2 linked regions of the Macaca mulatta genome follow. The protein of the gene in region 1 interacts with the protein of each later gene in a biochemical or structural test. Links are inferred from orthologs where the notes say so. Each region holds a gene or a part of one and is shown in the gene's direction. Other genes may lie near its edges.

Region 1 (3,943 bases):
TGCTGGGACTGCGGGCCTGAGCCACCGCGCCCCGCCTGAGGTGATTTTTAACAAGTACCGCCGTAGCTGCAGGTATCCTGGTTCTGTAGGAACAATGAGGTATGGATGGATCCATACCTGGACCCATGGATTGGATGGATCCCAGGCAGGCCCTGGACGGAGGGAAATGCTCTGGTTTGCTAAGCCCGGCATCGAGGGAGGCCCACCCTCAAAGCTAACCGTGGAAGTCACTCCGGCCTCCTTCGCCCTGCCGCCGGGGAACCCTGCCGGTGGCTCTCGACCTGCTCCCGAGCCATCTGGTGACACTGACTTAGCAGCCACCACCTTAATTGGCGCATTCGACGCAAATAACAACCAGGGAACCTGTGGGCGGTCAAAGGCCCGGCTTTGCGGTCGGCCCGCCCAGGCCCCTCTCCTTGCCCTGTGAGGCCAGAAAGTTACTTCTCCGAGGCCGTTCCCCATGACGAGAAATATCTCCCGCCTGAGGTTCTGTGGGGTAGGGGAGGTTCGTGCATTTCTCACAGAAAAACCTCGCACAGACCCGCGACTGCCTTTAACGGCTCTCAGAAGACTGCCTGCAGCCGGGGGTGTCTCCAGTCCCATGCTCGCGGGCAAGCAGGGCTGAGCTGTGCCTCCGAAAGGGCCAACGGGAACTCCGCGGTCCCTGAACTTCCGGGGCTGGCGGGCTTCTTTCTCCAGGGCCACCGGGAGCGCCGGCGTGAGTGCGTGCCGGGGCCGCGCGCGGGGTCTTTGAGGAACTCCAAGGCTGCCCGAGCCTAGGGAGCCAGCCACATTGGAGATCCCTAGACCGCCCGATTCCACCACCCCCGAAGTCCCCTCACAGCCGGCGCCAAAAACGCCAGTCCCACGGCGCAGGCCGGGACCCGCGCGCCCACGGCCCAATCAGCGCCGGCCTTGCACAAAGCGAGCCCCGCCCCGACGGCACGGCTGCCAGCCCCTCCCCCTCCCGTGGCCGCCTCGGCCCGCCCACTCCCCGCCCCGCGCCGTTCTCGGTTAGAGGCTCGCGATTGGCTCAGGGGGACTGCCGCGAGCTCTGGTTGGTCGGCACGGAGTCACGAGGGCGCCGTCGTCGCCTTTCCACAGGCGATTACTGGGCAGGCTCAGTCTTTCGCCTCAGTCTCGAGCTCTCGCTGGCCTTCGAGTGTACGTGCTCCGGGATCTTCAGCACCCGCGGCCGCCATCGCCGTCGCTTGCCTTCCTCTGGACTCATCTGCGCCACTTCTCCGCTCCACACTCCGCCGCCATAAGCCGCCATCATGGTGAAGCTCGCGAAGGTAAACGGCCTTGAGCGCGAGCGCAGACGTCTAGGCCTGCTCTCCGAGGGGCGAGCGCGGCGGCGCGGGGAGGAGGGCCTGCGCGCAGTCCCGGGCGCGTTCTAGGGCGCCATGCTGCGGGAAGTCTCGCGCGATTAGTGGGGAGGTCTCGCGGCTTCTGGCTAGTTGGTGGCGAGGTGAAGAGCTTCTGCAGGTGCTGGGGGCGGCGAACGCGGCGGGAAAGACGGAGTCACTGAGCGCGGGGAGGGGGCGCTGGGCCCCGGGGTGGGGAGATGAGACCAAACTCCTGCGACGCATACGAGTCGGGACCCGACTCCTGACGCACGTGCCCGGGAGCGCGGCCTGCCACGTGGGCCGCGCCGCGTAGGTCCTGGAATCTCCAGAGGCACCGGTGCCTTGCGCCAGGAAATGGCGGTATCGGCCCTAGTCGGAGTCCTGGCCTGGCAAGCCGACACGTGGTGGGCCCCGGAAGGTGGCTCTGCCGCGTGCCTTTTGCGCCGTGTTTCGGGCACGTGGTGGCCTACCAGGTACCCCCACGTGGCCGCGCCGCCTCTTTAAGGGGCGGGGTTGTCTTGCTGGGAAAAGCATAATGTTCATGAGAAAACCAAGGTAGTTACTTCTTACCTTCGGGCGGGTTTTCTGTTTGTGAAGCCCGGGAGGAAAATTGTGGGCGGTTGAGAGTAGTCCATCTTGCATTGCCATCAGGACTCGTTTTGATGTTGTGCTGTTTGGCACTATGAGAAATGGATCTGAGAAAGGAGAGATGATGGCGTTTTACTATGAACAGTAATGGCAAAATATGAATGGCCTGAAATGTTGAGGTGGAGGTGTAATGACCTACTTGTGTCCATTTTAGGCAGGTAAAAATCAAGGTGACCCCAAGAAAATGGCTCCTCCTCCAAAGGAGGTAGAAGAAGATAGTGAAGATGAAGAAATGTCAGAAGATGAAGAAGATGATAGCAGTGGAGAAGAGGTAATTTTATCTAGCTTAATGCAGAATTGTGTTAAAACTACAACAATGGAGAGTTAAGACATGAAATTGGATGTCTGTGGCTAAAATAAGATTTTATTCATCCAGGTATGTCCTATTGTAGTGGTGGTTTCACAAGCTCTTCACTGACATGTCAAGGTGTCATTTGGCTAAGTATTTGAATGTGAGTTTGAGACAAGAGGTCTGGGGATCTCCTTTCCATGTGCCTCTGCAGGGCAAGGAGTGTGATTTGTTGTGTTAAATCATTAAATTTTTCCAGTTTCAACATGTTAGCCTCACCCCGACATGTAGAGCTGGGCATTGTATTCAGATCTGAGGATAACCTTCCCAGATTCCTTTCCTAGCCTCCAATTAAGATTAATTGGTCTCCATTCCATTATATATAAACTTTGTAATTCTACTCACTGCGTTATAGTTATCTTTGGTGTAGACTGAGGGCTGCCACCTCTTTGTGTTAACATTGACCCTCTTTACTCTTTGGCAGTCTTGGCCTTTTATTTGCTCACTGTAAAGACATCTGAGCACTGAATTGTGCTCAGGTTTTTCGTTGAGAATTGAATAAAAGTTTTATTCTTCCACACATTGCCTAATAAAACTATGGGATTTTCATGTAGCTAAACGATGGCTTTTATCAAACTAACATGCTCACTCTTTGATGTGTGATAGTTTTGTAAGGGATAGTTAGGTTTAGCCTATTTGATCTTCATTTTATCTCAGGTCCCAAGAATTGAGCTTCACTGGACTCAGTACTGCCATCCACCATAGGAGCCCCAAATGATTTAATACGTTAATGCTTGGAGCCTCCTAGGTGTAAGGTTCTGAATAATTTACGCATAGCACTTCATTATTGTTATACGTGTAATATGATACTATTACCATTTTCAGATGAGAAAGTTGGGGTTTGGGAAAATATGAGGTGCAAGAATTCAGAGGTCTGGTTCAGAGGTATTTTAAGTGTTCAAAAGGGTTCCTTATGGCTGGGTATTCACCTGATAATAAGGGCTCTGACCTAAGACAACATAACAGAAGCCTGGAGTTTAACATGCTAACATGTGTCTAGCGCATGTGGTCTTGAACCAGAAGCATTGGCAGAATCTAACACTCACTGGGACCATGGTTATCTTTTTGGGTGTGGGGCTGGACTTACTGGTTTGGTTTTCATTTATTCTCAAGGTTGTCATACCTCAGAAGAAAGGCAAGAAGGCTGCTGCAACCTCAGCAAAGAAGGTGGTAGTTTCCCCAACAAAAAAGGTTGCAGTTGCCACACCAGCCAAGAAAGCAGCTGTCACTCCAGGCAAAAAGGCAGCAGCAACACCTGCCAAGAAGACAGTTACACCAGCCAAAGCAGTTGCCACACCTGGCAAGAAGGGAGCCACACCAGGCAAAGCATTGGTAGCAACCCCTGGTAAGAAGGGTGCTGCCATCCCAGCCAAGGGGGCAAAGAATGGTAAGAATGCCAAGAAGGAAGACAGTGATGAAGAGGAGGAGGATGACAGTGAGGAAGATGATGAGGATGATGAGGACGAAGATGAGGATGAAGATGAAATTGAACCAGCAGTGATGAAAGCAGCAGCTGCTGCCCCTGCCTCAGAGGATGAGGATGATGAGGATGATGAAGATGATGAGGATGAGGATGATGACGATGAGGAAGATGGTA
Region 2 (4,143 bases), on another chromosome or scaffold:
TTATAGGCATGAGCCACCACACCCAGCCGAACTTTTGAGTAGAATACAACCATTCAAAAAGAAAGAGTCTGGGCACAGTGCTCACGCCTGTAATCCCAGGACTTTGGGAGGCTGAGACAGGAGGATCACTTGAACCCAGGACTTCAAGACCAGCCTGGCAACATAGGAAGATCCCCATCTCTACAAAAAAAAAAAAAAAATTTTTTTTTTAGAGACAGGGTCTCCCCTCTCTTCCCCAGGCTGGAGTGCAGTGACACCATCATAGCTCACTGCAGCCTCAGCTTCTGGGCTCAAGTGATCCTCCTGCCTCCGCCTCCTGAGTAACTGGGACTCCAGGCCCCCACCGTCACACCTGGCTAAATTTTGTATTTGTAGAGATGGGGTCTTGCCATGTTGCGCAGGTTGGTCTCAAACTGCTGAGCTCAAGCGATCCACCAGCCCTGGCCTCCCAAAGTGCTGAGATTACAGCCCTTAGCCAAAACCCTGTCTCCATAAATGATTAAATAAATGAAAGGCCACAGGCCTCAGACCGTTCATTCTGGAAGGTGCTGAGGAATTGTTTGTTAATAGTGGTTGCCTGGAAGGCAGCGGGGGGAGGCTTTCCTTTTTCAGTCTGGTATGTTCTAGTTTTTTTTCAGCCGGGCGTACTGCACTAACAATATAAGAAGAAAATGGAAAGAATTTGAAAAGACGCTGGGGTGTGCAGAGGAAGGGCACCCAAGTCTGGGGAAGGCGACATCAAACCCAGGCTTTTTGTTACCTGTCAGCCCCCATGTGAAGTCCCCGCCGGGCCCCTCAGCCAGCCTGAGTGGGAGGAGTGCTCAGAGGGTCCCCTCTGTGGGTGGTGGGCAGCTGGGTGGGTCTCAGGGGGAGGCTCCCTCTGGGGCCTCTGCGGCCTCAGTGCCCTGGGATGCTGGCGTTTGTCACTTGCTGGCCACCCCTCCCAGGCAGGGATGGTGTGAGCGCCCTGGTCCCTAGCGCAGAACACACACGCCTGCCTTGCATGAGCACCCCCGTGCCCATGGTCTTGGGGGGCTCGGCAGGTGCCCTCTGCACCCCCCACAGTAGGTGTGCAGGTTCCGTCCCAGCGCGCGTGGCGGCACGAGGGTCCCATCCAGTCCGGCCAGGTTTTGGGGCGGCCTCTCGCCCAGGCAGGTGGGATGCTGCGCGCGGATGAGGGGCGGGCAGCGGGCTACTTCCCGGTGGGTCCCCGGGGCGCGCGGGCTGGGGGCGCCGGAGCGGCCGAGGGAGGAGGCCACACGCTCGCCTGCACCGCTGGGGGCCGCCCGCGGGCCTTGCCGGCCAGAGCGCAGCGTGCGCCCCGGGCCCCGCGCCGGCACTCGCTCAGCGACCGCGGCGGAGACACGAGCGGCGGCTGCGGAGCCCTGAGGGCGGCGGGAATGCGGAACCGGCGCGCGGGCTGAGGCCGCCCGGCATGGCGCAGGGGCGGCGGCGGCGGGCGGCCTGCGCGGGGCCCTAGCGAGCCGGCGGACGCTCCCGGCCCCGGCCCCGGCATCGGCATCGCGGGCGCATCGCGGCCATGGCCAAGGAGCGGCGCAGGGCGGTCCTGGAGCTGCTGCAGCGGCCGGGGAACGCGCGCTGCGCGGACTGCGGCGCCCCGGGTAGGTGTGGGCCGGGTGGGCGCGGGGCCGGGTGGGTCCCGGGTGGGCGCGGGGTGCCGGGTGGGTCCTGGGTGGGCCCCAGGGACTGGGCGGGGGACCGCGGACGCCGCGGGGGTGGCGGTGCTGAACACCCGGCCGGCGCTCGGATGGGGCCCGGGCCCGGCTGCACCTGCGGGACCCGGACGTCTCCCCGGGCCGGGCGGAGCGGGAGGCGCCCCCAGGACCCCCGGAAATCCCCCTGCCGCCGCCTCCCCTCCCCCTCCGGGCTGCGTGTCTGACGGTCACCGCGGACCGCCCGCCGCGTTGCGAAAGCTCGGGCTCCGCACAGAAAGAGGAAATCGGGGCTGGCTGCAGGGAGGGAACGGGCCGCCGGCTGGAGGGCTCTGCTGGACTGTGGGGTCCCCCGGCTCCGGGGCCACCTCGCGGTGACGTCATGCCTCACTCCCTCCCCACACCGGGGGTCCCTGGGTGTGAGCGGCGCCCCTCCCGCGGCTCCCTGCACCTGGCTGCTCCGGGGCGGGTGCCAGGACAGGTGAGGCCTGGAAGAGGTGGGGCCGGACGCAGGTCCTCGTCCACCTGCCGCCCGCCCGTTCGTTCTCCCGGCCGGGCATCCCTGACTCGGTTCCTAGGTCTGTGGGATTTCAAGGCACAGGAGTCCAAAGGCGCGGAGTCCCTCCCTTCCAGGCCACTGGTCCTGCCATTGGCTGTGAACGGGGCCCAGTGCCCAGACCAGCCCTGCCCTGCTTCGGAGCTGTCAGCCCCAGGCCGGCTGCGCTGTGGGGAGAGGGCCCTGCCAGGGCAGTCCTGCCACCCCAGGCACACCAGGAATCTGGGGGCCAATAGCCTGAGCCCCTTGGAACAAACCTAAACTCACCAAGGATGGCTGAGGTCCCCAGGGAGAGAGCGGGGGAAGACCCTGCATTTGCCCCCAAGGCCCTGGTTCAGCATGCAGTCTCTGGACACCCCGGAAATAGGATCTGATTCTCTCTGGGATGGAGGGGTCTCTGCCAGCCCCAGGTCGTGGTGGCTGCTGTCCAGCCACAGTTTGGCCCGAGAGTCCACACCAGGAGCTGGGGTGTCCCAGAGGGGAGATAGTGACAGGCTTTTCTGGAAAGACAGGCAGGACCCACGGCCTTTCCGTGGTCTCCTGAGGCAGGGCGGCTGCAGGGCCAGTGCAATGGTGTGGTGGGGGCGGCCCCCTGGGCTGGCTCGCACGAGAATCTCTGACCCCAGATCTTTATTTCCTCCTGTTCAGGAATGCTCCCCTGGAGAGTCAGTGGGAAAGGGCCTGGCCTGGGGTTGCTATGGCCCACGGGGAGGGGAGCTGGGCTTGTCTCTGAACCTCTGATTCCTGGCCACACAGCCTGGGAGCAGCTTCTCTGGACTCAGAGCCCCTCTCCAGCTGCCCTCTGGGCCTCCCAGCCTGGCAGGAGGAAGAAAGAGGGCACTTCCCTGGCCTGCTGGGCCCTTCAGTGGCCCTCCCCTCCCAGTGGGTGCAGGTGTGCCTGGCCCACCACAGAGCTGTTCTCGGCCCTCCCCCTGCCCGGTGCTGCTGGGCACAGGGCCGCACCTGTGCCTTCTCAGAATTGGTCCATGACCTCAGTGACTCGCCTCCTCTGTCGGGTAGCGCCATGGAGCGGGGATGCTGTGAGGGGTTGTTCTCATTTCACAGCCAGGGAGACTGATGCCTTGCAAACTGGAGCTGGGGATATGGGTCACACCCGGCCGCTGTGCTTGTCCCCGCTTCCCAGGGCTGTGGCCACAGGGTGGAACAGGAGGTGTCAGGAGACGGGGGGCTGCCCGGACCCCATGACCCCATGGCACACCCTTGAGGGCGCTATGCTGCTTTGCTGATGCGGCTGCTCTGGGATCTCCTGTTCCTGCTGTGGCCCAGCTGGGTGACAAGGAGCCACTCCAGTATTGATGGGGACTGGGGTGACCAGCACGTTCTGCTTTCCTCAGAACACTGTCCTGTGCACTGGCTCTCGGCTGGTGCAGACCCGGTCAGCAGGACATCAGACAGTCCCAGGCCACCTCTGAACGCCAGGCCTGTGGGTGCTGGGGTAGACTTGAGCAGGCCCCACCTACTGGCCATGTGAGGGAAGCCACATGGTCTGGGGGTCTCTGAGGCCTCCACAGAAGCTCCTTCCAAACTCTCATGATCTGTCCCACTAGTGGGTTCCCCTGACCTTGAACAGGTCCTCACCCAGCGGCCACCCAGAGAGCCTCTCCTCACAGGCCTGGCAGGTGGGCGAGTTGGGGCGTGCTTGGACCCACTGTCCTGCAAGACCTGGGTGGGGGTCTCCATCCTGGGTGGGGCTTGGGGGAGGGAGGAGGTGCCTCTGTGCATCCTTGGCACTGCCTGCCTAATTGCAACAGAGGACAGGAATCAGGCGTGGTGGCTCACGCCTGTAATCCCAACACTGGGAGGCTGAGGCGGGAGGATCGCTTGAGGCCAGGAGTTGGAAGCTGCAGTGATACACTCCATCCTAGGCCAGAGTGAGACCCTGTCTCAAAAAAA

Evidence for each region. The genes of interacting proteins can lie anywhere in the genome.
Region 2: the proteins of NCL (region 1) and ADAP1 form a complex in vitro, tested with the Homo sapiens proteins (2 studies listed by BioGRID). The link is inferred for Macaca mulatta from reciprocal best matches to the Homo sapiens genes NCL and ADAP1.

The regions. Positions count from the first base shown.
Region 1 is NC_133417.1:136,720,192-136,724,134, reverse strand, and holds the start of NCL (nucleolin), read left to right. Parts: upstream 1-1,136; 5' UTR 1,137-1,277; coding exon 1,278-1,295; exon of another isoform or gene 1,296-1,488; intron 1,489-2,151; coding exon 2,152-2,268; intron 2,269-3,459; coding exon 3,460-3,940; intron 3,941-3,943. UniProt on the Homo sapiens protein: Nucleolin is the major nucleolar protein of growing eukaryotic cells. It is found associated with intranucleolar chromatin and pre-ribosomal particles. It induces chromatin decondensation by binding to histone H1.
Region 2 is NC_133408.1:34,898,371-34,902,513, reverse strand, and holds the start of ADAP1 (arf-GAP with dual PH domain-containing protein 1), read left to right. Parts: upstream 1-1,338; 5' UTR 1,339-1,540; coding exon 1,541-1,622; intron 1,623-4,143. UniProt on the Homo sapiens protein: GTPase-activating protein for the ADP ribosylation factor family. Binds phosphatidylinositol 3,4,5-trisphosphate (PtdInsP3) and inositol 1,3,4,5-tetrakisphosphate (InsP4). Regulates the incorporation of CD63 and CD9 into multivesicular bodies.